7 linked regions of the Ovis aries genome follow. The protein of the gene in region 1 interacts with the protein of each later gene in a pairwise test. Links are inferred from orthologs where the notes say so. Each region holds a gene or a part of one and is shown in the gene's direction. Other genes may lie near its edges. The genes, in order: DAZAP2, TNIP3, phospholipid scramblase 2, PLEKHB2, SQSTM1, RABGEF1 and POLI.

Region 1 (4,398 bases):
ACGACTGAAGCGACTTAGCAGCAGCAGCAGCAGCAGTTGTGATAGGCAGAGTAAAGGGATAAGAACAAAACAAAACCAAACCACTGATTTGGGAACCGGGGTGGGGGTGGGGACCAAGATAACACACCTGACTTTGTAACCTGTTCACTGTGTGACTTAGGGCAAATCTCTCATTTGAAAAACAGAAATGCTTAAACAAGCCCTGCCTGCCACACAGGGCTGTTGTGAAGATCTGTGATGACTCCATAAAATCATGCATATTAATGGTGTCCTGCAAACTGTAATTTGACACTGGAGAGAAAAACAGCGGACTGCTGATGAAGTGAGTACTGGTCTTTTCAGTGGTTTAAGTCATTCAACAGCAAATATGGATCAGGTTGCTAATGTTTACCGAGGGTTTTTCTTTTCAAAGCTTTCTTTTCAGATGCTTTTCTAATGTTCTTCCTACACTACAGAATGTAAACCATGAGAAAATAGCCTTGGGCTGTCTTGTTCAGCTCCATCTCTGTACCTGAACACAGCAAGCGTTCAGCAAATATCTTAAAGAATGGAAGCAATTGTTGCCTTAAAGGATGGCATCTTTGCTCTTAAGAACGATTAAGTTAGAAGAGAAGGGATACACAGAGAAAATACCTATCAGGTACCATACAGGTGTCTGTGACAGGTATCAAAGTAAGGGCCAGGGCATGGGTACTCCTTGGGTACCAAGAACATGCGTTTTAGTGCTAGCTGTTGCAGCGGGGTGGGGCGGGGCACAGCACAGCATACCCTTTCTGTCGGTGAGAAAGCGACACAGAAATAAAACACCGACAGCCTATCGGTAGAATAGAAAGGCAGTGAAGACTTGAGTGAGGGGAACGAGAGATAGATCAAGGGTTGCGAAGCATCTCAGGCAGTTAGGTAAGATTGTAGAAATCTATGTCCCGTGTGTGTGTGTGTGTGTGTGTGTGTGTGTGTGTGTAGGAATCTATGTCCCGTGTGTGTGTGTGTGTGTGTGTTAGTTTCCGGTTCGGTCCATGGGAAATGGCAACCCACTCCAGTATTCTTGCCTGGAGAATCTCATGGACAGAGTCGCACAGAGTCGGACTCGACCGATGAGACTTAGCAAGCATGCATGCCCCTTGTAGAAAGGCTGTCAAGGTGAGGTGACCTTGAGGTGCTGAACGTAGGTGGAAAAAGGTTCCAGAGAATAGTTTAATGTTACTGCCTCCGAGCGTTCAAGAGAGAGAAGATCCCGTTTTGAGACAATACCTGTATTTGGTTTTCCTTCAGCCGAGGGACAAGGGTAGGGGTTGGAGGACCAGACCCGGTGGGCGGGGCCTACGCGAGCGGACGGGATCACGCGGGCCCTCCCTCCTGCAACCGGCGGCCGGGCGAAGGGGCGGGGTTTCCGGTGGCAGCGGCACTCGGGCGTCGGGTGACGCTAGGCGGACAGATCGTCACGTGACACGGAAGTGACTACGAACAGGAAGAGGACGAAAAAAATAACCGTCCGCGACGCCGAGCCGAGCCGGACCCGCAGCCACCATGAACAGCAAAGGCAAGGATAGGGGGTGGCTGAGGCCGCCGGGGGGACTAGTGCTGGCCCGGAACGAGCGGGCCCGGAGCCCAGGGTCACCGAACGCCAGGCCTGGGGCGAGGTGCGCCGCGCTCCTGAGCCAGCTGCAGTGCCCGGGGCTGCGCCAGACACCTTCGTCATTCCCGAACTACGGCCGTTCGCTCCCTCACGGCCCTTTCTCCCTTAAACTCTGTGGCGCAGTTTGGAGCTGCGGACTCGGGTTGGGGGGGGGCTGTTGGGTGGGTGGGTTGGGGGGGTGGGGAGAAGGTTTGTCGTGATGGGCATCTGTAGGAGCAAATGGGGAGCTGGAGGCGAGATTTGGGTAGGCCAATGGAGAACTGGCAGAGGCGGGGCGCCGCGCTCCGGAACCACAGGCAGGCCTCCGGGCTTAACTAGTAAAGTGCCGCTCTGGTGGGCGGGCCAGTCGGGCCCGAAGGGGGTCTCTTCCCCCTTACCCTCGCTGGCGGCCAGAAAGTCTCCCGGTTTCTGTGTCAGAACATTCCCTTCAGCCCCCTCCACGATCTCAGCATTCACTTCCACCACTCACTCTTTTCATTTGGAAGTCGACCTTGAGTAGGAACCTGTGAGGTCGATGACCACAACCACCGTTACTCACGAGGTCTTGGTCAGTTACAACCAGACCTTTGGAGACCACGCAGGACAGGGAGACAGGACACACCGTTGAAATACCGGCTAGAGGGGATGCCCAGAACTGCCCTGCGTTCTGAGAGGATCTTGGGCCCAGCTAGACTTTCCCCTTACAGCAGTCGGCTACTGGATGTCCAGTTGGAATCCAGCTTCTTCAGCTTTAAGGGTGCAACGAGAATGCTTATTTTCTTGGCTCCAGGAATCAGGCCCTCTAGGGCAGTCTGTTTGGAAATCTCTTTTTGCTTATCCCAGCTAGATTAGCTACCCAATATGCCCTGCTTTGTTTTGGTGACTGTATGGTAGACAACATGCTTTTTTTCCCCCCTTGTCTTCCAGGTCAATATCCAACGCAGCCAACTTACCCTGTGCAGCCTCCTGGGAACCCTGTGTACCCTCAGACCTTGCATCTTCCTCAGGCTCCACCCTATACTGATGCTCCACCTGCCTACTCAGAGGTGCTTCCAGTTAACTTAATAATGGAATACTCTTGGATCATGTTTTCGGTCCTTGGCCAAGTCTGGCTCCACACATTTATTTACTTTCCACAAACAGAAGAGAGTGCTCACATGAATCATCTTAAAACGTGACATAGTTCAGCCATTTCTTTTGGGTTTGAGAAGGCATTATCTGATTGTTTTATGTTATTTGGCACTGGCTGAAGTTAAGAAGATGAGTTTGCATTCCCTGAGCCTAACATTAGCTATAGCAGGAAGTGATCCAGGAGAATATTGAGTGGCAGTGGAAAGGCAACTTGTGTAACTCAAAGAGTGTAATCTGCACAAGGAGAATTAAGACTTGACTCATTAAATTGAGATCTGAAATAGGAATGTCATGAAGTAACTTATTGCCTTCTCTTCTGCCTCTTCTAGCTCTATCGTCCGAGCTTTGTGCACCCGGGGGCTGCCACCGTCCCCACCATGTCAGCTGCATTTCCTGGCGCCTCACTGTATCTTCCCATGGCCCAGTCTGTGGCTGTTGGACCTTTAGGTTCCACAATCCCCATGGCTTATTATCCAGTTGGTCCCATCTATCCACCTGGTTCAACAGTGCTGGTGGAAGGAGGGTATGATACAGGGGCCAGATTTGGAGCTGGCGCTACTGCCGGAAACATTCCTGTGAGTATGACTTGGTCACAAAAAAGCTCGACCCTTGTGTATTTTAACTTTCTGAAATGACTGGTCATCCTTTCATCATCCCTGGGTAATAGTTGCTGGTATTGGTGTAATAATCACTGACGTCCAGTAGTCAGGCAGAAAGCACTCAAAGGGGCAGGAGAACCGTGGCCAGTCAGTAACATCTGGCGTACTCACTGATGTTAGAATTTATCAGATTCCTTTGTTTTCCTGTCTTAGGAGTCCTGCCTGCTGCTTTTCCAGTTCACTTTGATACTAGTTTAGTAACACTCCTCATTCATTCCATAAGCATTTATTTATATGTGCCATCAGCATGGCATCGTATTAGGAACCATGACGATTAAAAAAACAATGCATAATCCCTATTAAATTGCATTTAGAGAGATACTAGGGATTTTAGCAATGTCTCTTGATTAGTTCCCCTATGTATGGGAATTAGAGCCCATATGGTCCTTGCTAGGACCATCTACTCAATAACCATAGGCTAGGGATGAAGTGAAAATGCTGTCATCAGGTAGAGCCTTCAGATTATCCAGGGCCATTTGAAAACTGTCAGGCCCTGTGATATAAGTCCCTGGACCTGGTACCCGCTCCGTTTTGGGATGTGAATAGGAGTGATTTTCTGCACTGAAAATGCCAAGTCTGGACTTCCCACACTTAGAAGGTATCCATAGGCTTTATTTTGGATCCAGAACCCTTTAAATGAGTGGGTTTCCTGTTTATATCTTTGGCCTTACAAAGAATGTAGACCTGCTGGACTCAGATTGGTGGCCCAGATAGCTCTTTGAGATGCCGCTGGTTAGCACACTGCCATCTTCCTGATTGGTCCTTTTTCACCTTTGTCCACTTCCCTCCCATAGCTGCCCTCTGCCCAATCAACCTTGTCTTTTCCTTTCAGCCTCCTCCCCCTGGATGCCCTCCCAATGCTGCTCAGCTGGCAGTCATGCAGGGAGCCAATGTCCTCGTAACTCAGCGGAAGGGAAACTTCTTCATGGGTGGCTCAGATGGTGGCTACACCATCTGGTGAAGAACCAAGGCCATCTCTATGCCGGGAAAGAC
Region 2 (3,806 bases), on another chromosome or scaffold:
AGAAAGACTATGTATCTGTTTTCCAACTATGATTAGTCAGGTGGGAGGGAGGGTCTGTAATATTAAAAACCTTCTTAAGTCACAATGAGAGTTGAATAACATAAGCACCATCATGGAGAAAAGACAGAGATTCTGGAAAAAAATGCATATATGCTAGAAAATCAGAATAACATTATTTAGTGAGGCCTTTAAAAATGAACTTCTACCTTGTGAGTGCATTTGAAACGATTGTAATAATTGCAGAGAAATACATATGTGGCAACTCTTAGGTCAACAGTGTGCTTATCTTATAATACAGGCTCTGCAGGATGCCTTGAAACTGGAGTGTTCTTCATCTCCTGAGGACCCTTTGGGGAAGTCTGAAATGGAGTGCAGCCATGAGGAGATGCGAACAGAAATGGAAGTTCTCAAACAGCAGGTGAGAAGTTGAAAGTGGAGCAATCTTGAGGAGAACTTAGGGCCTGTTGTTCATGTGCTGCTTTAGACATTTCTAGAAGTCCTGCTTTTCACTTTGTGTCAAAGGGTTTTGCATGTATCTAATTATAATTACCTAATTTTAAAGCTTTATGGGGAAATTTAGATCAACTAGTCCAACTCTGACACTTTATAAAAGAGAAAATTGAATTTCAGATGGGTCGAGTGGCTTGCCCAAGAGCACACAACTTAAAAGAAGGGCATGCTAATTAACCTTTTAGTGAAATTCTATTAGCACTGGTTCCAGAGATTTTCACACAGACACAATTTATTTCGAAGACACTATTAACCTAAACTCTGGACCTTTTCAGAAAATGGTAGCAGCTGGGCTGCTTCTCTGTAGCTTCAGACCTTCCAGGCTTTGCAACAATGAGGGCAGTTTTAAAGGGAATACTCTGCGCTGATCAGAGGAGGCACATCTGTTTATCTACTCCCACGTATGGATGGCACTGCCTAGGAATTTACTGACGAGTTATGGCTTCCTCCTTCCCACCCAGCCTGCTTCACTCACTGTTGCCAAGTACACAGCAAGAGTCAAGGATGCTCTAATAAGCTCTTGCATGCATCAGCGGCACGGGGCTATGGGACATAGCACTGCCTAAACTACCGGAGCCTAAATTCCATTCATATAGCTGGAACTGGCTTAGCCACAGGGCCACTCGAGCATATCACATCTCTTTTCCTATGAGAAGTGAAATGAACTAGCATAGGTAAAGGGCTGGAACAGTTCAAGGTGATATTGAGAAATACAGGAATTCCAATCCTCGAAGCACACATGGTTGGTGATATGTTAACAATGGCAGGTTGCAGGGCAGGATGTCACAGAACAAAGAATGTATATGTAGGATTTTCTGATGTCCCTGGGAGTAGCTTGTTGGCTGTTTTGCTCCGAGCAAGTGCCAATTACAAGGAATCTTGATGCAATACACAGAAGAATTGAGCAACTGTGATATTGTTATTTACATTACTCTTATTACTTCATAGAATGTAACTATTTATAAATCTAAAATATCCAGAGCATTTGACGTAAAATTGGATCTTTTTCTTCTATCAACTCCATTTGAACAATCTGCTTCATTACATTCAGGATCAAATATACAGCTTAGAAATAAACCCATGTTGAGATTAAGGGTATAGTCAGAGTGTTAAAACTGCCAGATTCTCAACCCCTGAAGTAACACTGGCACAAACCAGGATTCCTTTGAAAAACGGACTGCTTATGTTCAGACACTCGAGTCATCTTCATTGTTCTCACATAATGTAAATTTCATGCAGGAGAGTTGCTCTTACATGCAGTGTTTACAGTAATGGTTTAGTTTGTATTTGACAGAGATAGTGGCAAGTATTCTTTTTTTCATAACCCCCAAGAGTAGACCAGGATTAATCTCCTTCATTTTTGTATGGCCCTTTTGCTAGCTTTCTACATTCACATTTTAACTGTGCACATTTCTAAATGGGTACCTACAATAATTACACCACCAAGTGCTACGTGAAACTCTAGAGAATTTAAATTCACAAAGAAACTGAGCTTGAATTGGCCACCTAAGTGATGACATCACTATAAGTGTGTTCTGTTCTGATCAATGGGCTTCTCCCACTTTAGTTGCCTCTGGTAATTGTTTATTAATTATACATTGATTAAACTGTATCTGTGCCTTTGGACTGCTACTCTCAACCAAAAAAAAAACAAAAACAAAAACCCAACACCAGAAAACAAAATGTCAGCTTGGCTGCATATAGTTCCTTTGCAATCCTTCTGATGAAAAAAGGCTTGAAATTAAATATGTATATCTGCATATAGAGCTATATAAAATGTTTCATTTTTTCCTCTCTTGCCTATTACACTTTGTTCTGTTATTATTAACTTAAAATTGATAATCCTTTAGTTAAAATTTGTTGCACTGTTGGTGATGATGGTGCAATGTAGTTTAATGTTAGGTTCTCATGTATGTTATGATTTAAATCTAGTTTTAGAGGAATTCCTTTGCTTCATTCCTTAAGCTTCATTTGTTTTCATAACTCCACATTCTAGTCTCCAAGCCACCAATCAACACTGTGCCAATTAAAACAAACAATAATTAAATCTGTTCTGGGGCAAGGTTGTTTTGATTACTTTTCTACAATATTTGGAGTACATCTCAAGAGGCATTCCACTAAAACGTTCCTCTTTTTATGATATATGCCCACAGTTACTTATAAAGGGCAACTCTCATGAATGTCCTTTAACAAACATCCCTTGGTTTCCCACGTACATGAGCCTTTCATTTTTAACTTGTACTCAACTTATAATTTCTGTTTAGAAACTTTGACATGTCAGTAGTCAGTGGCTTCGCTTAGCTATTGTCAGTAAACTGACTGAAGAACTTCAAGCAATATTTATGTCAAAGCCTTGTTTTAGAGATGAGTGATTTGTTCCAAAACAGTGACTCTTAACATTGATGGAGTCAGGGGGGTCAAGGTGTCCTCACAGTCATGTAATATGCAATAGAAATATTGGTGAAGGGAATTTTTTTTCAAAATATCCATGAATTTACTTATGAATTACTGCTCAATGAGAAAAAAGTAGAGAAAGTGCCATTCTAAACAAACTAAAAGATGAAATTATAGTCACAGGTATCAAGATGGAGTCCCACCATAAAGAAATATTCATGAAAAGAGGACATCCATGTCTCAGATTGGACAAACCCAGACAGCATCTCTTCTGAACTCATTTAAATGGCTTAAGAGAAAAGGAAGCTAGCAGTAACAGCATGTTAACATTTCCTAGGTGCAAATATATGAAGAAGACTTCAAAAAGGAGCGATTAGACCGAGAAAGACTTAATCAAGAAAAAGAAGAGCTACAGCGAATTATTCAGACTTCTCAATCCCAGTTGAACAAGCTGAATTCTCAGGTATAAGTTCAAATAACCTTTGCCAGCACATATGTATTTTATATTTATTTTCTCATTAAAAAATCAAGATATTTTGGCTTCTGTTAATGGCCATTTTTTTTTTGAGAGATTAACATCTGGGATGAAATCATTTGTAAACAATTTTATAAAGAGATGAAAATGACTGGCGATTCCTTTTAACTTAAGTATATTAAAGAGTTATCCAAGAAATTGGATTCCAAAGTCTTTTACAAAATCCAATTCTTTTGATCTTTTTTCTCATAATATTTATCTTGGTAGAATGAGAGTTGGAACTAAATAGCACTTATATTCAAAGACGAAACACTCCAATACATTGAAGTTGTTTCTAAATTCTTACCATTTTTCTTTGAAGGACTACATTGGAATGTTCCTGTCTTCCAAAAACATGCATAATGAATGTCATTTATATAGCTAATGA
Region 3 (3,806 bases), on another chromosome or scaffold:
AAATGTGAAGTAGAAAGACTGTCAAGGTTCTAAGATGATAGTTCTCAGAGGTGCATAGGCTTAAGTATTACTTGTTAACTACAACAGTAGTACCAGGGCACCATCCCAGGAAGACTGAAGCAGAAGCTCTGGTTGTGGCACCCTGGGATTAGTAATTTTTTAATTTCCCAGGTGATTCTAATGTGCAGCCAGGGATGAGAACTGTTACTTGAAAATTTTATATGGTTGGTGTTTAGAGAATTATTAGCACTTGGGGGATATTTTAATCCACCCATGGCTAAATAACAGTAGATAGTACATAACTAGGTTATAACCAGACTGGCGAGCTTGTGAGAAAAATAGCTCAACTTTATTTCTCAAGTCTAAGGCTCATGTAGTACAGGTCTTTTATGATAATGATGCTAACAACAGTGATGGATTAAAATTGAGAGCTTATCATGCTAACTATGGATTAACTCATTTAATTGTCAGACAATATTAACAGGGTAAATACTATTGATTATCCCAATTATGCAAGTGCAAAAACAGGTATAGAGAGACTGGATCAGGCTTCAAGTTTTGGCTTCTATATTTAATCATTGTGTAATGGTTTTAAGCAAGTTGCTATACCTCCAAGCCTCAGTTCTTATGTATAAAATGGGCATAATATTTTTTAATTCAGGTGGTCTGAAGATTAAATGAGACTATGTGTAAAACACCCAGCACAATGCTTTACAATTAATAAATGACACATATTTGCCATTATATTAGTAATATATTAAATCAATTGTGCTTTAAGTAAATGAAATATTATTTCAGGTAATTCCATATGCCTATTTAATCCATTGATTTGGAAAATAACTATTCTCTCAAAGAATCCTGTGAAGATTTAATAATGCTAATAATGTAACCAGTTAATTCACATCTCTCCCTCACTGGCTTCCTATGGTTTAATCTTTTCACTATAGTTAGTGCTGTTTAAAAATAGATATGTTGATGTTACAGACAGTACCTAATGGGTGAGGCTTCCCTAGTGGCTGGCTCAATTGTAAAGATACCACCTGACAATGCAGATGATATGGGTTCAATCTCTGGGTTGAGAAGATCCCCTAAAGAAGGAAATGGCAGTCCACTAAGTGTTCCTGCCTGGGAAACCCCACAGACAAAGGAGTTTGGTTGGCTACAGTCCATCGGGTTGCAAAAAAGTTGGACATGACTTAGCAACTGAAAACAACCAACAACTATTAAAATATTGTAGGACATAGAATTTTCTTTGAAGTTATATTCCATTCCTATGGAACAGTTCCTCTGTGGACTATTCATTTAAATTATAAAGTTACAAAGCTTCATATTTGTAATCACAAATTCATGTGGAATAGAGTAAATACTTATTGAATTTATTCCACTACTGTGCTTAATAAATACTTGAGACAATTTTGCCTGCTAGAAGTTTTTACCTTCCTTGATTCTCAAGTTATATTTTCCAGAAAGTTGCTAAATTGTGAAATTTAAATTTGGAATGGAAGTATCATAATTAAACTTTTTTTTTTTTTTTCCTATGTGGAGGGTTTTAGGAATGGAATACACCATGGGTTAAAACTTCAGGCAAACTGTTAACCCAAGGGAGTATCTGGACAGTAGTGGAAGGAATGACATGCCTTTACCTCTTTATGAGGGTTTCTCAACAAAGGCACCATAATATTTTCGGAGGGATAATTCTTTTTTTTTTCAGGGTGCTGTTCTGGTGCTTTTAGGCTATTTAGCAACATCCCTGGCTTCTACCCACCTGAGGCTAATTCTACCCTCCAATTGTAACAGCCAGAAGGGTCTCCAGATGTTGTCGAGTATACAATAAAGGGACAAAACTACTGTCAGAACTATACGTATAGGAAATATCACTTGTTAGAATTCTATAATCATTTTTTTCACAAGGTGGTTTGGCCATAGAAATGCTGACTCAGAGCCTCTATTTGGGGCTTTCTCCTCAATGCCATCCCTCTTTTTCAAGAAGCCATTTCAGAAGTTTTATGTACCTGACTCTAGATTGTTGTTGACTTTATTTTACTTCCTTAGTTTTCAGGCATATTTTCATCTGAGTTTTGACTGATAAGGATAAGTCTGTGTGGCAACTCTGTACACAGAGCCTAAAGCCCTCAGAATAGGAGTGGACATGAAAGCACAGATACCTCATTGAAAAATCACTGAAAGATAAGAATATCTTAGAATCCTAAGAATCGTAAATATCTTAAGATTTAAAAATATCTTAGAAATCCTGTTTCTTCTGAGTAGAAATTGTAGTTTGTAGACAACTGGGGTGATCCTAAAAGACTTGGTTTGCATTTTTCTGTGCAGTTATGAATTATTTCACATGTTCATATTTCAGGACCTCCAGGACATATTGGCTATTCTGACCCCCAGGCTGGCTATCAAGTGCCACCGCCTGACTATGCAAGTCCTGGCCCAGTCGGCCTTCCTGTCCAATACCAGCCAGTGACTGGTCACCCAGGAGAGCCCACACAGGTACCATGGATGCCAGCACCACTACCTCCATTAAACTGCCCACCAGGACTGGAATATTTAACTCAGGTAATTCAATACCTAAAACACTCATTAAAAACAAAACAGTGCTCCCAGTTTACTTAATGAGATTAACAATTAACTAATTCACAAAAGTGTGAAACAGTAAACAACTTTACTAACAAATTACTCTAATTCTTCTAGGTCAGGTTTACTTTTACAGCAAAATGCAAATGTCTTAGGAAATTGTGTGTTCTATGATCTTGAATATAATCTGCAGTAACAACCAATAGCAAACCTTTAGTAAGCACTATTTTCCATGCTTTATTCCTAAGTGTAATACATGTAGTAACTCATTTAATTCTTTTAAAAAAATGCTGTGATATGTAAGTATTATAATTATCGCCATTTTACAGAAGAAGAAACTTAGGTACAGAGAAGTTATATAATTTACTCAACATCAAAATGCACAGGAAGTAGGAACAGATTTTTACTTCGGGGACCTTGGCTCTGAAAACTGTGCCTTTTAATCCCAACACTGAATAACTTCCCAGGAGTTGGAAAGAAACAGCAGACTCAATTTAGTGTTCGTTTTCCACAAGTGGTACTAAGAAAGGAGTTAATAATCTGTGTATAATATGACCTACCTTTTATAATAATTAGAAAATTACATTTTTATGTTGCTTTTGTTCTTTAGAAGACCGAATTTTATTAATGCTACCAATAAGGAAAAAACATTCCTGGGTTTTAATGTACAGCATAATGGCTTACCTCAGCAATGTGAGGTTTAGTATTTGTTTGGCATTAGAAATCTGGTAAGTTAGTTTTCAGCAAATGAGCTGTCTCTCTTTCACTCTGCACTAATTTAATTTCCCATAATGCACTTGGGCTGCATATAATATAAGAATTTGGTAGTTCCTAAATTCTCTAAGAAATACCCTAAGTATATTATTTTTTAAGAAAAATTAAGCCCTTACAATATATTTGGGGAAGTCATCACCTACTATAAATGATATTAAGCACACTTGAAAAATGTTTTTATTTGTAGTAAAAAGCTCTTTAAATGGATGAAAAGGTCTTAATATTTCTTAGGCCCTTTCTGGAAGGAACATTTTTTTCTAATTTTATACGGATTCCAGTGTAAGTCAATTTTGCTTGACTTGAATTTGCCCACATTAAAAATAAACACGTTTCAGTAGTTGTTAAGAATATACTAACTTTAATTTTATACCTAGAAGTGATACAAACAGTTATTAACTATTAATAAATGTTGATAACTGATTATATACATTCTTTTAAAACATACAAAC
Region 4 (4,545 bases), on another chromosome or scaffold:
CGTACTTTCCCCGTCCCAGTTCTAGAGTCACCGGTATCTCTCAAGAGCCCTGCCCAGCTCCTTTTGCGGGAAAGTGGTATTTACAAGCCATGTCAGGGGAGTCTACAGTGCCCTTCCAGTTGAAACTTAAGCCCGACCCTGCCCACGCCGCCCCCGTTAGTCAGGCCCGTTCGGGCCCCGCCGCACGTCCGGCCTGCCTCGCGTGCCCTGCGCATGCGCGCCGGGAGGCGTGACGTCTGACGGCGGCCGGGACGCCAGCGTGAGGCCGCCGGTGCCGAGTAACCGGGCAGTGTCCTTTCGCTTCGGCCCTGTTTCTGTGCGCGGTGGTGGCCGGACGCTTTCCAGGTGAATATTCCTGTCCGATTTCGGCGACCCAGACGCCCTCCGGCCGGGCCCACCCACCCTGCGCCCATCCGAGGAGACCCCAGGCCCGTGCCCTCCGTTCCCCACCCAGGCGGCGGTCCCCCCGGAGTCTCCTCTGGAAAGGCCCATCCGCGCCCCCCAGCCCCGCCCGAGCCCTTCCTCTCCCCTTCCTTTCTCCTCCATGTCACCCTCTTTCTCTGCTTCCCTCCTTCCCCCGGGCCCTCCCAAGCTTGTCCAAGAGCCGCCGCCCTCGCCTCCTCCAAGCGGACCCCCCTTCCAGACCGTCGCGCTCCGCCCCTCCGATCCCTCGGAGCCTCCCCTATAGCCGTCCGCCTGTGTCTTCTCCACAGGAAACCCCCCTCCCTTCGTCCCTTTTTTCTCTCCTTCTGGAGCCTCCCTTGGAGCTGCGCGACCGCGCCCCATCCGAGTTGACCCCTCAGCGGCTCCTTCCCTCTCTCCCTAGAGCCTCCTCTGGAGCCGCCCGGCCTGCTGGACAGCTCCTGCTGCTGCCCCCCTTCCTGCAGGTGCCCCCCGCCGGCCCGCTGCCCATCTGCAGTGTGGGCGCAGAACTCCACCCCTGCTGCCCCGCCAGCCCAGGGGATTTGGACTCTTTGGTTCTCCTCACACCTGGAGGTCTCGTCCTCCTTAAGAAGGAGTCTGGAGTGGCATTGAAGCTTTGCGCTCGCGTGTGGGGCCCTTCTCCGCTTGGTTTCATCTACTCTCGGTTTTGCAGTGTCTTAGTTTTTAGGTGCTCCTAGTTGCATTATGTCTTTTTTTGACAGATTGTCTCACCTGCCAGTTACATTAGGAATCTCAGAGCTCAGGGGTTTTTTGTTCTTTTAACTCAAAGGTAGAGTAGCTTACACAGGAACGTGTTTATAAATGACCGAATAGTAAAATTCCAGGTTTCCGGGGTGAGCGGGGGAAAGGAATGAGGTGAGACGGTCACAGTATAAAAAAAAATCTAGGGGGACATAGTTAATTTTAAATCATGTTGGAATTGACTCCTGAGAAGCTCTCGTTTTTTTTTTAATGTCTTTTCTGTCTAGGACGGGGTAGAGCCACTGCCAGAGGGAGCAGCGCTTTTGTCTATAAAGGAAAGGAAGTTCCTGGGTCTTGTTGAACTTTGAGGAGACCAGTTCCAGTGCAGGAAGTGACTTGTCTCAGTTACGAAGGGAGGGGGAATTAGGGCCCCGAGCTACTTACCTGTTAACTACCTGTTTGTTTACGACCCTTAATGTTTGTCTGACAAATAATGACCAAAGTACAATAGAAGTGTTACGTGCATGTGCAGCAAGACTGCTCCTGCAGCTGGTTTTCTTGTGCTCAGCACGTCCCCTCGGCCCAGGAAGTTCTTAACCCTGGGCTGGGTTGGACTGGTCTGACGGTTATTGATAGAAGGTGGTTGTTGGGGAGAGAGCTGGGCAGGTGCTTGTCTGGTCTTCCCTGTGATTAGTGTTTACTCTTGTTGGTAGTGATGACTTAAGTAATGCCCCGGCCCTTCCCCCAACTCCCCCTCAAATCTCTTGAGAGCAGGAATCAAACATATGTTGCAGGATTATCCTGGCAGGTGAGAGTGTCTGGCACAATATAGGTGGTCAGTAAATGCTTACTGAAGGAGATTGCAGAAAAGAACTCAGAACCTAATGCCGTTTCTTTACTAGCATGTTTTTAATGGTGTTAGCATATTCTGCAAGTAAGTAGCCTGATAATCTCAGGGACTGAATTTGTGAAATGTGTAAGTGGTGTGGAAAGAACAGATACCTTCTTGAGGTAGTCATATTACTTCTTGGGAAAATAGAGGTTTTTCTTGATTTCACTCTAGAAGGTTTGCTGCTGTACTTACCAGGTTGCTATCCTACATTAATATTTGGGTTCTTTCTCCTGTCCTGTTTTTTTGTTTCTTACTGAATGTCTAAAGAAATTAAAGAATTACTTTATTAGTGTCAGTAACTACCAAAAACTGTTGAGTAAAATTAACTGTTAAAAATGTTACAAAAGGACTTCCCTGGTGGTCCAGTGGCTAAGACTCTGCACTCCCAATGCACGGGTTGGGGTTCAATCCCTGGTCAAAGAACTAGATCCACATGCTGCAACTAAAGATCCTGCACGCGGCAATAAAAATGAAGATGGAAGATCGTGCCTGCCACAGCTAAGACTGGTGCAGCCAAACAAATATTCTTTGAAAAGTTACAAAAAGTGGGCTGGTTGAATCAGTCCTATTTTATTGGCTGTATATCTGCTTCTGAATTTGATCCTGAGTACAGAGTATTGAACTTTCTTGCCTCTTTGTTTTAGTCTGTCTGTCCTTTGATGGGTGCTTGTATTGGATTTGTTATTAAAAATTGATCAGTATGTAAAATGGCCAACACCAAATATGAACTGACCTCTGAATGATAATAGATTACCCAATCCTTGTCCCCTGTGTTGTTTTGGAGTCCTTGAAGAACAAAGTTTTCCTTCCTTTGGTAAGGAAGTAATTTTACAGCTAAAATACTAGTTCCTCTGAAAGTGAAAGTGTTAGTCACTCAGTCGTGTCCAACTCTTATGGGATCCCATGGATTGTCTCCTCTGTCCATGGGATTTTCCGGACAAGAATACTGGAGTGGGTTGCCATTCCCTTCTCCAGGGGATCTTCCCTACCCAGGGTCTCCTGCATTGCAAGCAGACTCTTTACCGGCTGAGCCACCAGGGAAGCCCCTAGTAGGTAAATTTCCTGATAATCTCAGGGAGTGAATTTGTGAAATGTGTAGGTACAGAATGAACAGATACCACTTTTTAAAAAATTTTGTCCAGCTGTGCAACTGTGGGATCTTAGTTCCCCAGCCAGAGATTGAACTGCTCTTGGCAGTGAGAGCTTGGAGTCTTAATCACTGGACTGTGAGGGAAGTCTCCAGATACCACTCTTGAGGTAGTCATATTCCTTGGAAAGGTAGACAGTGCTAACTAAATAAGCCAGGTAAAGTGGGCTTTTAGTCAGAACTGTCAGATTCCAAAGGCAATATTCTTTCCAACTTTTAAATTGGTCCCCTTTAAGATTCAATGATTTTTAAAGTGATTTGAGTTCATATTCAAAGTGACTTGAGTAATTCCCTGGCAGTCCAGTGGTTAGGGCTGGGTGCTCTCACTGCCCCAAGGTTGGGGTGAGGGCAGGGTGTGTGTTCTGGGTTTGATCTCTAGATGGGGAAGGAACTAAGATCCCATAAGGCAAGAGGTGCGCCCCCCAAAAAATGAAATGTTGAATATGATTTGTATTTTTAAAACTTTTTGTAGATTTTATTGGTATGTGAGTAAGGTGGCTATTTTGCAGCTAGTTTGCTGGTAGGTATTCTGTCCTGTAGAACTCTACTCCTGTAGAGTTTTAGTTTATGCATTAGATCCTACTTCAGGGTATAGCTTCCCTGGTGGCTCAGAAGGTAAAGAATCTGCCTGCTGTGTAGGAGACGTGGGTTTGATCCCTGGGTGGGGAAGATCCCCTGGAGAAGAGAATGGCAACCCCCTCCAGTATTCTTTCCTGGAGAATCCCATGGATAGAGGAGCCTGGCAGGCTACAGTCCGTGAAGTCACAAAGAGTCAGACACGATTGAGCGATTAAGCGCTTGTGTGCGTGTGCACACACACAAACACACACGGAAAGTGAAATTCAGCAAGGTATGTCAGAAAGCTATTACTGTTTCTTCAGAGACTGATTTAGTTAGGTATTCTGGGAAGGGTTTTTTGGTTTATGTTTTTTTTTTTTTTTCCCCCTTCTACTGTGTGTTCAAATTTTGACAGCCAGGGGCATCTTAGTAAGTCTCCTAAGCCATTTGAGAAGCAGCCTCATGTGCTTCTGTCTTCTAGAATGTTTCGGGCAAATTTTAGGTGGATGGTGAGGAAATAATAGCAAAAATAGTAGTAATAATTGCTGTGGGAGTAGCTACCATTTGTTGGTTTTAGTAACTGTCACACACTATGCAAGCACAAGCTATTTTACCCAATTTTCGAAACATCTTATCCAAGTAGGAATTAGTATTCTCACTTTATAGATGAAGAAACTAAGCCTTGGAAAAGCTAAGTAACTTGCCCAAGGTGATTTATAAGTGATTGAGCCAGGATTTAAACGCAGTTCTTTTGACTTCAAACCCTGTACTCTGAAGCATTAGGTTCTATGAATTTTTTAAAAGCATATTATCAGAATCATAC
Region 5 (4,240 bases), on another chromosome or scaffold:
CTTGCGTTGCCCAGGGCTGAGTGACTCTCAAGCTGCTGAGTCACACAGGGGCACCTGTGGGGTGCCTCCACCCAGCACTGCTCCCTCTTTGTCCCTTAACTCTGTCTGTAGGGCAGTAGGCAGAGAGGGTCTTTTCTCAGGCTCAAAGTAGGGATGCCGGGAGAAGCCTGAGAACAGACTGTCCTCTCTACAGGGTTCTAGACAGCAGTTCAAAGCCTTGCCTTCTCTGGAGCTCTCTGGGAAGGACAAGCCACCCTGTGAACAGGCCCCAGTTGTGCTTCCACAAGCATCGCACCAGTGCATCTGACTAGCCAAATCCAACTGACCTTCCTGTGGTCTCCAGGTTTCCCCTTATTCCTTGAAGTTTTACCTTCTTCCACAAACCCCACCATGAAAAAGCATGAATCTGACTCAGCAGGTTTGACTTTCTACTCACAGAACCATACCTGGGAGGGTTCATAGGGTGACATACCTTCTCGACTACCTTCTTCTAAGACACGCATCCCAACCCCTTCCCCCAGGCTGTTTGAACAGGTCACTTTTGTCACATAAAACTGGAGATGCCCAGCACAGGAAGGCGGTAGGCTGTTGATCTGCCTATTGGGCTGCTCATGAGGCAACAGACCTGAGACCCCCTCAGGCCCTTGGGTACCACCTGATGACAAATGGGTGTCCAGGCACCAATGGCGAGTCTTCTAGGGAGCACTTGAACACTTGGTGGCTACTGAGGCTCCAGGAAGCCTTAGCAAGCCCTCCGGGTCAGGTGGAGATGGGAATATTTTGTGCTGTCCTGGCACCTCTCAACCCTACCCTCTGTCAAACTGGGAGCTGCTGCTTGCGCTTCAGTTGGGAGGGTCTGTCCCTCCAAGACTCAGTAAAGGGCTGTCATGGAGGATGCTGGGGATGGTGGAGTGGGCTGCCACCTGAGAAGCTGATGGCTTCAAAGGGAGGGGCTTCTGCCAAGAGTGGCAAGGTCAGGACAGCACGTCAGGAGCCAATTTGTTCTAGATGGCGGTGCCCGCTGAGCGCCTAGGAGCTTCCTGGCTTCGGGCTTCTGTCGCCCACCTTCCTCCTGCACCGGGCATCTCCAGGCCTCCTGGGTTCTGCTTTGCTGAGTCACAGCCAGGACCAGACCTGGGAGGGGTCCCCAGGTGAAGAGGCTGGCGAAAGATCTTTGATGTCGGAGTAGGGGGCCGGCCTCTTGGGGTGCCTGGTGCATTAGGGGCGGTGATGAAAGGGGGCGGCAATGAGGGGGCCCGGCGGAGACGAGCGGGCAGTGAGCCTGGGGCTCCCGGAGGGCGGCTCGCGAGCCCCGGCCGGGCGCTGAGGCCCCGCCCCCAGAAGACGGTGGCGGGGGGCGCGGCTTCCCTCGTCCCTACAAAAGCCGCGCGCCTCCGCCCGCTGTTGCCCAGCTGTGCTCCAGCTCCTCCAGTGGCGGTGATGGCGTCGCTCACGGTGAAGGCCTACCTTCTGGGCAAGGAAGACGCAGCCCGCGAGATCCGCCGCTTCAGCTTCTGCTTCAGCCCGGAGCCCGAGGCCGAAGCCGAGGCCGCCCCTGGCCCCCGGCCCTGTGAGCGGCTGCTGAGCCGTGTGGCTGCGCTCTTTCCTGTGCTCCGGCCCGGCGGCTTTCAGGCGCACTACCGCGGTGAGCGGGCCCGGCGCCCTCGGCAGCGGTGCGGGGCCGTGACGCAGCCCTGCCCTGCCGGGCGGGCCAACGGCCCCTCGCCTCGGCCTGGGCGGCGCCCGCGGGGGTTTTCGCTGGCGGCTCTCCGGGTGGACGGCGGCCCGCGTGGGCCCCTAGCGCGGTCCTGGTGCCGCCCTGCTGACGAGGAGCGGCGGCCGCAGCCAGCCCTCGAGGGGGGCGTCTGGCGCCGCCAGGCCCTCCCGGCGAGGCTCAGGCCTGGCGGCCTGAGAGGCCTCCCCCCCGCGGTGATAGTGCAGGTTTTGGCGAGGGCGCGGGCGTCCTCACCTGCTCCCCCAGCGCCTCTCGGGTTACACCGACTCCTGGCTGCCGCAGTCCGGGTCTGCCGGCGCCAGGCGGGGGCTGTGGCGAGAACCCGGAAGAGCCGGGGCGGGCGGCCGCGGAAGGGCCGGCGGGGAGAGCGGTGACGCCGTTAAACGCCCCGGGAGGCGAGGCGCTCGGTGGTGCGGCCTGGCCCGCGACTGGCGGGCGGCTGGCAGAGGTCGAGCAGCCTCACGAACAGCCAGGGCTAGGCGGAATCCAGGCGTTATCCCACTGGCAGTGATGAGAGGCACAAGAGAAAACGTTCTTAGAAGTAATGGTGTAGGGACAGAGTCCAGGAGGCAGCTCAGTTTCTAGCTGCGCGGGTGAGAAGCTGGCTGCTGGGTGTGGGGTTAGCGGAGGTTGTTGTGCTGGGAGGGAGGCGGGCCCATGTACGTGGGGCGGTGCTAGGACCTTCTTCTGGACTGCTGCCAGGCTCCCAACTTTTTTTTCCACCTGTTTAAAAATTAGCGATTTTATTGAGCTACCACCCCATAGAATTCGTCCATTCAAAGTGTACAGTTTTTACCATATTCACGGATTTCTGCAGCCATTATCACAGTCATCTGGGAATCTTTCCATCACCTTCTGAAGAAACTCTGCCCTTTAGCGATCCTCCCATCCCATGCTTCCAGCCACAGATACCACTAACCTACTTTATGGATTCCCTTGTTCTGGGCAGTTCATGTAGAAATGTAGTCTGTTGTAACTGGCTTCTTTTATTTGGCATGATGTTTTTAAGGTTCGCGTATGTTCAGCATGTATCAGTATTTCATTCCTTTTTGTGGCTGAATAACATTCAATTTTATGGATACAGCACATTTTGTTGAGCTGTTCATTAGCTGATGGACATTTGAGTTGTTTCTGGCTTTTGATACAGCCACTGTTTTTTGGTAGATGTTGCATCTGGTGACCCACAGACCTGATCTAGCCTGCAGATGTATGGTGTGGTTTGTCTTGCATGGTGATGTTTTAAACCACTTGTGCCAACATCTAAAACTTGGAGACTACATACAAATACATAATTTTAACTTTGTTGGGGGCGGAAGCAGGCAGATGTATTCTGCTTTAGTCTTTTAAGCCACAAGCGGTCCAAGGGGAGCAGGTCATAGATGGGGATCTCCACGTTGACATGGGGACTGGGTCTGGCGGGATGTGCACAGAGACAGCAGCCTTCTGATGGGGCAGCTGGTCCAGAGGCAGAGCATAGTGGGCAGGAGCTGTCACTGCCGTCCCTGCACACACTGCTGCTGGCGTGTGTCCACGGCCCGGGCTGGAGTCCTTACCTTCCAGGCAGTGGAGTGAGCGGGTGGTTTGCCCTCAGCCCTGCTTTTCTCTGGGTCAGACAGGTGGGCTTTGGTTTATAACCTTGCAGTGGCCCTTCAGTACCAGCCTCAGCCCTTTTCAGCAGCTGTGTCCAACTGAGACACGCTGGGTGCTCACATGCTGTCTTTTAAACAATCTAGATGAGGACGGGGACTTGGTTGCCTTTTCCAGTGACGAGGAGCTGACGATGGCTATGTCATATGTGAAGGATGACATCTTCCGCATTTACATTAAAGGTAAGGGGCTGCGCTGGGGTGCTGCCTAAAGCCTAGTGCTCCCTGCTGAGTGCAGCTGGCTTGAGGTTATGCAGAAGTTCCTCCAAAGAAGGGGTGAGGAGACTGGGCCTCTTTAAGACAGGACCACAGTCATTACTCTGCTTGACCTGAGAAACGAGTCTGTGTTCACCACAGGGGGTGAGGTTGGAGGGTCTCTGGGTTCACTCTTTTCTTGAGGGGAGTTCCCTCTTGATTGCAGTCATGGGCCAGGGCAGCTTTGGGGTTTAGTTTAGTGCGGGTCAAGACCATAGCCGTATGGACACAGCTCTCTGTTGCTCCTGCCTGGGCCGCACGTCTCCAGGTCATGGGTGCAGGGATTGGAGCCTCTTAGCAGGTTCTGGAGCTGCTTTGTTACTGTCAGTTGAACACCTGAATTCCGGGTGGACTCAGTGTCTGAAGGGTGGCACTGTGGGCCTTCTGACCGATGGCCCCAAGTGTGATTCTTCGTGGCTCACCGAGAGTCTCGGCTCTCCATCCTGCCTGCAGAGAAGAAGGAGTGCCGGCGGGACCAGCGCCCCCCGTGTGCTCAGGAGGTGCCCCGAAACATGGTGCACCCCAACGTGATCTGTGACGGTTGCAACGGGCCCGTGGTGGGGACCCGCTACAAGTGCAGCGTCTGTCCTGACTATGACCTGTG
Region 6 (3,806 bases), on another chromosome or scaffold:
ATTTTAACTTCCTGTTAGAGTTGGCTGTGTCTTCAGAGAAGATTAATGGGACAGTTTGACTGTAAAGACTCAGAGAATTTACTTTCAGTTTTTTAATCTCCAAAGCAGGGTTGAGTGAGCTGTAGTTTAGAGTAAATCACAGTGGGTCAGCCAAGTTGAAATACTTGCTCATACATTCTAAAATGCTCTTTTTCTTTAGCGGTCAAATAAATGTCACCCTGAGTAGAATCTTGTGTTCATCTTTTACAAATAATCTAAAAGTTATGCTCTAAGGAGGGATTAAGGAAGGCTGTCCTTTTTTTTTTTTTAGAATTAAAATGCCAGTCTTTCTGCTTAGACCTTAGATTCTAAATACTATCCTACACTGAAGTGAATTCGGGTTCCTTGGAGAATTGACTGATTCTGGAACTGGAGCTGGGAAAGGAGGGCCCCTCAGAAATGTTGGGGACATGTCAAACACCCAGAGGTCAGCTTGAATGGGTTCCCACTGACCAAAATTGGATATCAAAACAAATAAAGATATAAATGGACTGTAGATGAATAAAACAACAATCCATTAGTCCATCCAACTAATAAAATAGATAAATGAAGAAGGGAAGAAAACTCTTGCTTACCATAGAATGTTGACTAACAAATATAGGAGTGATGGAGACAGAAAAATCACCATTTTATAGTTATCCTGGTAGGAACTGGTTCAGACAGGTTTCACCAGTGGATGCTGAATCTAGGGTGAGAGGAGGGAGTTTCCTGAGGAACAAGTTGTGAACCATGATTCAGGTTAACTCCCACAGCTTATTTACTGATTACAAATAAAGAAATGATAGCTGTATTACAACATGGGAAATGGACCTTCTGTGCCTCTGGATATGATAATTTGAGAAGAACACAATATCAATTATGTAATATTTAAGCTGAAAATTTATAACCTGACATCTAGTCATGAGGCAACAGTAGAGAAACACAAGTTGAGGTACATTCAGTAAAAATAACTGGCTCATATTCTTCAAAATTGTCAGTGTCATGAAAAAAACAAAGACACATTTCCAGGTTAGACTGTATGACCAGTCTCCTCAGTTTGTGTGACCCTCAGTTTGATCCTGTGTTTAAAAAAAAATGCTAATTTTTCAGTAACTATAGTTAGCAACAGAATATCCTTGTTGCTAAGAAATACTCAAACTAAGGGATAAAGAACATGATACATACCATCTACTCTGAAAAAATTTAGAAAAAATTGCACACAGACATGGAGCAAAATGTTAAAATTTTGTGACTCTAGATAATGGGTAGAAAGGGATTCTTTGGGAGAATTCCATGGACAGAGGATTCTGGTGAGCTGTGATCCATAGAGTCACAAAGAGTCAGACAACTGAAGTGACTTAGCAAGCATGCATGCACATACTAATTCATAACTGGTGAATGCAGTTCATCTTTTTTTTTCTTTTAAGTTTTTTTAAAGTAGTTTTAGGTTCACATAAAATTGAAAGGATGATGCAGAGATTTCCCATATGTGCTATGCCCCCACACATGCACAGTCTCTTCCAGCATCAGCATCCCCCACCAGAGTGGGCCATTTGTGTTACAGTTGCTGAACCTACATTGACACATGATTTTCAGAAGTATGTAGTTTATATAAGGATTCATTCTTGGCATTGTACATGCGGTTGATTCGGACAATTGTATAACAATATGTATTTACCATTATAGTATCATACAGAGTATCTTTCATTAGCATTTTGAAAGAGTATTTTTTAAAAATCAAAATCATCTGTCTTTGGAAAATAGTATTTGTTGAAGGGAGAGAGTGTGCACAAGTAAGGCAATAAAAGAGATGGCCAGAGTTTCCCTGCCCTTGGCTGGCTTACAGATCCGCAGAGTCTCAGGGCATGGTGTCCCCTGGAAAGAGTCCTCAGTCCACTCTGACATGCTGAGGCAGATACTGCATAGTAAGGAGCTCAGGCTACAGAGTTAAGGCACAGAGTCCTGGGTTCAGATTCCAGCTTGTGCCACTTAAATAGCTGCAGCATCATTCAAGTTAATTAACGTTCTCAAGCCTTAGCTTATAGAGTTGTGAGGATTATACAACAAAGCGTCGGAAAAGTACTTAGCACATAATAAGCATTTGCTGTATGTAAACTATTACCACTGTTAGTTTGTCAGATTGCATGTGTATTCTGTTTTTGTTGGGTGGAGTGTTCTATAAATATCAATTAATTCAAGTTGTCTGATAGCATTGTTCAGGTATTCTGTCCTTATTGACTTTTTTGTATTACCTATAATATTGATTACCAAGAGGGGAGCATCAAACTCTCTTATTAAAATTATGGATTTTTAAATTTCTTCTCTTTAGTTTATGTTTCATGTGTTTTAAAGCTGTGTTACTAGGTGCATGGGCTTCCCTGCTGGCTCAGGGGTAAAGAATCTGCCTGAAGTGCAGAGACAGGGGTTTGATTCCTGGGTTGGGAAGATTCCCTGGAGAAGGAAATGGCAACCCACTCCAGTATACTTGCCTGGGAAATCCCAGGGACAGAGGAGCCTAGTGGGCTATAGTTCACGGGGTTGTAAAAGAGTCAGACACGACTTAGCGATTAAACAAACAAGGAGAATCCAAATATTTAAACATAAAATAACTTAAATTCAAGTTTAACTTTGATTTAGCATAATTTAAATAATCTAAGGTTAGGTACTTAAAGTAATTCCATGCATGGATCTTCGTGTAATGAAACTTACTATGTTTAATTTTCCCAGCAGAAATTCAGGAAGCAAAAGCTCCCAGTCCTTCCATAAACCGGCAAACCAGCATTGAAACGGATAGAGTGTCTAAAGAGTTCATAGAATTTCTCAAGACCTTCCACAAGACAGGCCAAGAAATCTATAAGCAGACCAAGCTGTTTTTGGAAGCAATGCATTACAAAAGGGTAGGTTGAGAACCACCTAGAAATGTAGAGTTTTGGTTTTAGGAAAGGTCTTAGAGATAATCTAGTGAAACTTTGTCAATTTCCAACTGAGAAAATAAAGATCCAGAAATGTTGTCACTTACCTGAGAAATGTCACTGAACCAAGTTAAACATGACTCTAAGGCTAATACTTTTCCACTGCAACTCAATGGTATTTGGATCATCTTCATGTGGAAAGTCTGGCATCAAAGCCACTTATACTGTGTCCTTTAGTAATAAGCCTTCCTAACTTGTCACCTTATAAATAGTAAGCTGCCAAGGGGGTCATAGTAGACCTTGAACTCTTAAGTAGTAATCATTAGACCAAGAATAATCATTTAGGATTTTTTTTTTTTGGTTTAGTTTGGTTTTGTATTTTGATTTTTAATTTTCCTGTCCTTGCTCAGGTAGAGAAGTGAAAGCTAAAATTTAGACATTGAAAAGGACCTTAGCAACTTCTGTCCATTTATTGTACAGGTAGGGAAGTTGAGAGCTAGCGAGGATGAGTGACTTATCCAGGGTCACTTGGATAACAGCTTGTGTCCTCTCCATGTGTGTCTTTACCCTGTAATTTCTAACCCATAGTTTCAACAGTGAACCACTCTTGCCCACACCTTTTTCCTCTTCGTTCCTATCTTCTCCACTCCTAGAGTATGCCAGTGATGAGCAACCTTTTTTCCACATAGAGGTTGAGTCCAGAAAAATTAAGTAGTTTCAGAATTGCATTAAAATTTTTTTCAGCCATTTTATCTTTATCAGGACATACTTTATATCTGCATATCTGCACTGAGAGTTTTTAAAAATAATTCCTCATCCCCAAAATGTACCTCTTTAGGCTAAAATTTCATTCAGCACCTGCATAATTCGCACACA
Region 7 (4,596 bases), on another chromosome or scaffold:
TGGAGCCCCACAAAATAAAGTCTGTCACTGTTTCCACTGTTTCCCCATCTATCTGCCATGATGGGACCAGATGCCATGATCTTAGCTTTTTTAATAAAAGCTGAGCACTGAATAATTGATGCTTTTTAACCATGGTGTTGGAGAAAACTCTTGAGAGTTCCTTTGACTTCAAAGAGATCAAACCAGTCAATCCTAAGGGATATCAGTCCTTAATATTCATTGGAAGGACTGATGCTGAAGCTGAAACTCCAATACTATGGGCACCTGATGGGAAGAGCTGACTCACTGGAAAACACCCTGATGCTGGGAAATATCGGAGAAGGCAATGGCACCCTACTCCAGTACTCTTGCCTGGAAAATCCCATGGACAGAGGAGCCTGGTAGGCTGCAGTCCATGGGGTCGCGAAGAGTCAGACACGACTGAGCAACTTCACTTTCACTTTTCACTTTCATGCATTGGAGAAGGAAATGGCAACCCACTCCAGTGTTCTTGCCTGGAGAATCCCAGGGACGGGGGAGCCTGGTGGGCTGCCGTCTATGGGGTCACACAGAGTCGGACACAACTGAAGTGACTTAGCAGCAGCAGCAGCTGGGAAATATGGAAGGCAGGAGGAGATGGGGACAAGAGAAGATGAGATGGTTGGATGGCATCACTGACTTTATGGACATGAGTTTGAGCAAGCTCCAGGAGTGGTGAAGGACAGGGAAGCCTGGTGTGCTGCAGTCCATGGGGTGGCAAAAAGTGGGATTCAACTGACCAAGCTGAACTGAACTGAGTGCTGCCTGCCCATGCACACAAGACCTAAGAGATGTGGGTTTGATCCCTGGGTTGGGAAGATCCCCTGGAGAAGGAACTGGCAAACACTCCAATATTCTTGTCTGAGAATCACATGGATAGAGGAGCCTGGCCAGCTACAGTTCATAGGGTGGCAAAGAGTCAGCTGGCTGAAGGGACTTAGCACACAGACACACAGACAATTACCAATGTTGCGATAGTTTTAGGTGAACAGTGAAGGGACTCAGCCACACCTATACACATGTTCTCTCCCAAACTCTCCTCCCATCCAGGCTGCCACTTAACAGTGAGCAGAGTTCCCTGTGTTATACTGTAGGTCCTCGTTAAGTTTTCCACTTTAAATACAGCAGTGTCACAGTATCTTTGAGTCAAACAACAAAACGCAATTTTAACATACTAGCTAATCGTATTAGTTGGAGAAGGAAATGGCAACCCATTCCAGTATTCTTGCCCGGAGAATCCCATGGACAGAGGAGCCTGGTGGGCTACAGTCCATGGGATTGCGAAGAGTCGGACACGATTGAGCAACTAACACAATCAGTTTACAAGGTCGCCTGGCTCTCACCATAATTTCCATCGATTCCCCCACCCCCATCACCATAAAATTTCAGCATCTCCGGGTTAGCATTTCTAACAGTTGACCGGGAGAACAAGCTGCCTTCTACATAAAAATAAACATTTAAAACTTGTGATAAGAACGTAACTCCGAAGACCGCATGCGGGGGCTGGGAAGAGCTGTTTGGGATGGTAAACCCTCCTTCAAGGCTACGCTGGAGAGAAGTCCCAGAGGCAAGTCAGGAGGATTTGCAGCCCTTGCGACCATCAAGGTAGCCCGCGGCTAAGCGCACACTGCGCAGGTGCGAGCCCCGCTGCTCCCCGCGGAGCGCGGGCGGCCGCGGCCGGAAGCTGCCTTTCGGTGGGCGGTCGCCGCGGGGGAATGGAGAAGCGGGGGGTGGAGCCCCAGGAGGCAGGCGGCGGCGACGACGACGAGGAAGCGGACTCGACTCGGGCCATGGAGCGGGCGGAGGCGGGGGCGCCCGGCGGCTGGCCCGGGGCGCTGGAGCCTGACGAGCCCGACGACCTCCCTTGGTGTAAATGAGCAGGCGGGGCGGGGCGACGAGGGCGGGCGCCCCGGGCGGCGGCGGCGGCGGCCGTTGGAGAGCGACCGTCCCCTCCCCGCCCGCGTCCTGGCGTGTTCCCGGCTCCGCCGAGAGGGCGGCCCTTCGCCGCTTGGTGTTCTGAGGCCACGGTCCCCGAGAGGGGCGGCTTCGCCCAGAAGGGGAAGGCCGGGCGCGTCCAGTGGGGTGATGGAGGCTGCGCTCGTCTCCCCTCAAACAGCCCCGCGAAAGCGGAAGGGGCCTCGGGGGCCTCAGGGCTGCGGAAGCGGGAACCTTGTCGCTCACTTGGTAGCGGTTGCGGCCCGGCCTCAGCCCGGAAGGGACCGCCCGGCTCGGAACCGAACCCGGCCGGGTCTGCAAGTGGCCGCCTCTCTGCTGATCCGCTTCCAGCCTCGGGGCCCAACCCCCGGGGTTTGGGGCCAAGGCTCTCTCTCCTTCCCAGTCTCCCAGCCCTTCGTTTTTAAAAAGCTTTAAAAATATTAAATACTTGCAGATTTACAGAGAGATGCACAGATAACTTTTACCGACTTTAATGGCTTACGTCACCGTGATACATTTGTCAAAAGAAAGTAACGTTGGCATAGTAATTGATACTCTTAACAGAAGGACAAGCTTTATTCAGATTTTACCAGGGTTTTTTTTTTTTTCCATTTAATTTGTTTCTGTTCCAAACTCCAAACCAGGATACCACATGGCATTTTAGCCTGCCTTGTTTTTAACTGCTGTTAATAGCTGAAATCTCCTGTCTTATCCCTCTGACCCCTCCACCAAGATGTGAACTACTTTTTAAAATCCAGGAAATATTTACTCAGTCTTTAAATTTAGCAAGTATTTGTTGGTAGTCTGCTGCTACTGCTAAGTCACGTCAGTCGTGTCCGACTCTGTGCGACCCCATAGACGGCAGCCCACCAGGCTCCCTCCGTCCCTGGGATTCTCCAGGCAAGAACACTGGAGTGGGTTGCCATATCCTTCTCCAAAGCATGGAAGTGAAAAGTGAAAGTGAAGTTGCTCAGTCGTGTCCGACTCAGCGACCCCACGGACTGAAGCCTACCAGGCTCCTCCATCCATGAGATTTTTCAGGCAAGAGTACTGGAGTGGGTTGCCATTGGTAGTCTAGGTATCGGCTATTCAGCATTGAACCAAATAATCCTGATCTCTTGGGAGCTAAATATAGTCCACTGGGACCCATAGATTCTGCCTTCTGTTTTGTGTTTCAGGCTGTTTTTTTAAGGACATGCCACTTAGAATAATTTTTTGTTGTTGTTTAGTCGCTAAGTCATGTCTGACTCTTCTGTGATTGCATGGAATGGACTGTAGCCCACCAGGCTCCTCTGTGCATGGAATTCTCCAGTCAAGAATGCTGGAGCTGGTTGCCATTTCCTCCTCCAGGGGATCTTTCCCACCTGGGGTTTGATCCCATGTCTCCTGCTGCTGCTGCTAAGTCACTTCAGTTTCCTGCGTTGGCAGGTTAAATCTTACAAGGAGCCACCAGGGAAGGATAATTTTTAAGTTGGTTGGAAGATTTGTGTTTACAAACTTTTCAGCCCTTTCCAACTTACTTTAAGTTTTCCTATAAACTTCAAAGTCCTAGGATTACCTCTTGCGTCTTCCATTATTGATAAAAGGTTTTTTTCCCTTAAAATTTATTACTATCCTGAGAAAAATGCAATACACCAAGAAATAGTAAACAGGCCTGAGGACTCTCTTGTAGGTGGAGTTTCTTTCATATCCTTGTAAGTTTTAGATTCTTTGAGACATGTAATAAATCCAGGGGAAAAAAACTTAAAAATCACTCTATATTCTTTGTTGGTTGCCATGTTTTAAGGGACTGGCAGTTGCTCAGAGGTGATAAACAGGCTGAATGTGTTTTTTTCATTTGGTTGCATATTGTGCCACAGTTCATGATGAGCTGGAACCAGCAGGAAGTTCTTCATGTAGAGTCATAGTACACGTGGATCTGGATTGCTTTTATGCACAAGTAGAAATGATCTCCAATCCAGAACTAAAGGACAAACCTTTAGGTAATTCTGGACTTTGATACTATTTTCATTGTATGATATGATTTGTTATTTATTCTGATTTATTAAGCATATTAATGTTGGCAGCAGTTCTCTGATGCTTTATGGACAGTAATCTTTATTTCACTACTGGATGTAAACTTCATGAGCCTCATTTACTAAATGGCAAATGTGAGAGAAGCAGTGTAATTAACCAAATAAACAGGAAGACCACAATAAACTTCTGGTCTTTTTCTCAATGTTTGAAATTTTACAGCCATTTTATCTCAAGAATAACCTTTTAAAAAAATTTTAATAGGCATTTTCAACTATTCTACTTTTGAAATTAACTATTGAATTGTGTAACAAAATAGTTGGATTTTGTGTGACAAAACAACTGGATTTTGAACAACCCAAAATATTAAGGCATGCATAGTACAAGCTTTTCATGAAAACATAAGTATGTTTTAAAATAAAAGGCAAAGAAATTTTACATTGGGGAATTACCGAGTATTGTGTTTTGGCTTATTTTATTTTTACATTGGAAAAGTAAATTTCTAAAATTTTATGCATGTAGTAAGGATTTATCTTTGAGTAAAAGCATGCTGGGAAGGATTGCAGGCAGGAGGAGAGGGGATCGGCAGGATGAGATGGCTGGATGGCATCGACGATTTGATGCACATGA

Evidence for each region.
Region 2: the proteins of DAZAP2 (region 1) and TNIP3 interact in binary tests that used the Homo sapiens proteins (3 or more experiments, as listed by UniProt). The two-hybrid records come from large-scale screens. The link is inferred for Ovis aries from reciprocal best matches to the Homo sapiens genes DAZAP2 and TNIP3.
Region 3: the proteins of DAZAP2 (region 1) and phospholipid scramblase 2 interact in binary tests that used the Homo sapiens proteins (3 or more experiments, as listed by UniProt). The two-hybrid records come from large-scale screens. The link is inferred for Ovis aries from reciprocal best matches to the Homo sapiens genes DAZAP2 and PLSCR1.
Region 4: the proteins of DAZAP2 (region 1) and PLEKHB2 interact in binary tests that used the Homo sapiens proteins (3 or more experiments, as listed by UniProt). The two-hybrid records come from large-scale screens. The link is inferred for Ovis aries from reciprocal best matches to the Homo sapiens genes DAZAP2 and PLEKHB2.
Region 5: the proteins of DAZAP2 (region 1) and SQSTM1 interact in binary tests that used the Homo sapiens proteins (3 or more experiments, as listed by UniProt). The link is inferred for Ovis aries from reciprocal best matches to the Homo sapiens genes DAZAP2 and SQSTM1.
Region 6: the proteins of DAZAP2 (region 1) and RABGEF1 interact in binary tests that used the Homo sapiens proteins (3 or more experiments, as listed by UniProt). The two-hybrid records come from large-scale screens. The link is inferred for Ovis aries from reciprocal best matches to the Homo sapiens genes DAZAP2 and RABGEF1.
Region 7: the proteins of DAZAP2 (region 1) and POLI interact in binary tests that used the Homo sapiens proteins (3 or more experiments, as listed by UniProt). The two-hybrid records come from large-scale screens. The link is inferred for Ovis aries from reciprocal best matches to the Homo sapiens genes DAZAP2 and POLI.

The regions. Positions count from the first base shown.
Region 1 is NC_056056.1:134,989,081-134,993,478, reverse strand, and holds the start of DAZAP2 (DAZ-associated protein 2), read left to right. Parts: upstream 1-1,445; 5' UTR 1,446-1,527; coding exon 1,528-1,540; intron 1,541-2,542; coding exon 2,543-2,661; intron 2,662-3,075; coding exon 3,076-3,321; intron 3,322-4,237; coding exon 4,238-4,366; 3' UTR 4,367-4,398. UniProt on the Homo sapiens protein: In unstressed cells, promotes SIAH1-mediated polyubiquitination and degradation of the serine/threonine-protein kinase HIPK2, probably by acting as a loading factor that potentiates complex formation between HIPK2 and ubiquitin ligase SIAH1.
Region 2 is NC_056059.1:4,592,523-4,596,328, forward strand, and holds part of TNIP3 (TNFAIP3-interacting protein 3), read left to right. Parts: intron 1-298; coding exon 299-418; intron 419-3,241; coding exon 3,242-3,367; intron 3,368-3,806. UniProt on the Homo sapiens protein: Binds to zinc finger protein TNFAIP3 and inhibits NF-kappa-B activation induced by tumor necrosis factor, Toll-like receptor 4 (TLR4), interleukin-1 and 12-O-tetradecanoylphorbol-13-acetate.
Region 3 is NC_056054.1:242,583,678-242,587,483, forward strand, and holds part of phospholipid scramblase 2, read left to right. Parts: intron 1-2,362; coding exon 2,363-2,565; intron 2,566-3,806. UniProt on the Homo sapiens protein: Catalyzes calcium-induced ATP-independent rapid bidirectional and non-specific movement of phospholipids (lipid scrambling or lipid flip-flop) between the inner and outer leaflet of the plasma membrane resulting in collapse of the phospholipid asymmetry which leads to phosphatidylserine externalization on the cell surface.
Region 4 is NC_056055.1:114,910,857-114,915,401, forward strand, and holds the start of PLEKHB2 (pleckstrin homology domain-containing family B member 2), read left to right. Parts: upstream 1-1,653; 5' UTR 1,654-4,545. UniProt on the Homo sapiens protein: Involved in retrograde transport of recycling endosomes.
Region 5 is NC_056058.1:1,203,402-1,207,641, reverse strand, and holds the start of SQSTM1 (sequestosome-1), read left to right. Parts: upstream 1-1,440; coding exon 1,441-1,645; intron 1,646-2,063; exon of another isoform or gene 2,064-2,328; intron 2,329-3,468; coding exon 3,469-3,564; intron 3,565-4,089; coding exon 4,090-4,240. UniProt on the Homo sapiens protein: Molecular adapter required for selective macroautophagy (aggrephagy) by acting as a bridge between polyubiquitinated proteins and autophagosomes.
Region 6 is NC_056077.1:28,722,079-28,725,884, forward strand, and holds part of RABGEF1 (rab5 GDP/GTP exchange factor), read left to right. Parts: exon of another isoform or gene 1-578; intron 579-2,745; coding exon 2,746-2,915; intron 2,916-3,806. UniProt on the Homo sapiens protein: Rab effector protein acting as linker between gamma-adaptin, RAB4A or RAB5A. Involved in endocytic membrane fusion and membrane trafficking of recycling endosomes. Stimulates nucleotide exchange on RAB5A. Can act as a ubiquitin ligase.
Region 7 is NC_056076.1:54,026,208-54,030,803, forward strand, and holds the start of POLI (DNA polymerase iota), read left to right. Parts: upstream 1-1,704; 5' UTR 1,705-1,733; coding exon 1,734-1,887; intron 1,888-3,812; coding exon 3,813-3,935; intron 3,936-4,596. UniProt on the Homo sapiens protein: Error-prone DNA polymerase specifically involved in DNA repair. Plays an important role in translesion synthesis, where the normal high-fidelity DNA polymerases cannot proceed and DNA synthesis stalls. Favors Hoogsteen base-pairing in the active site.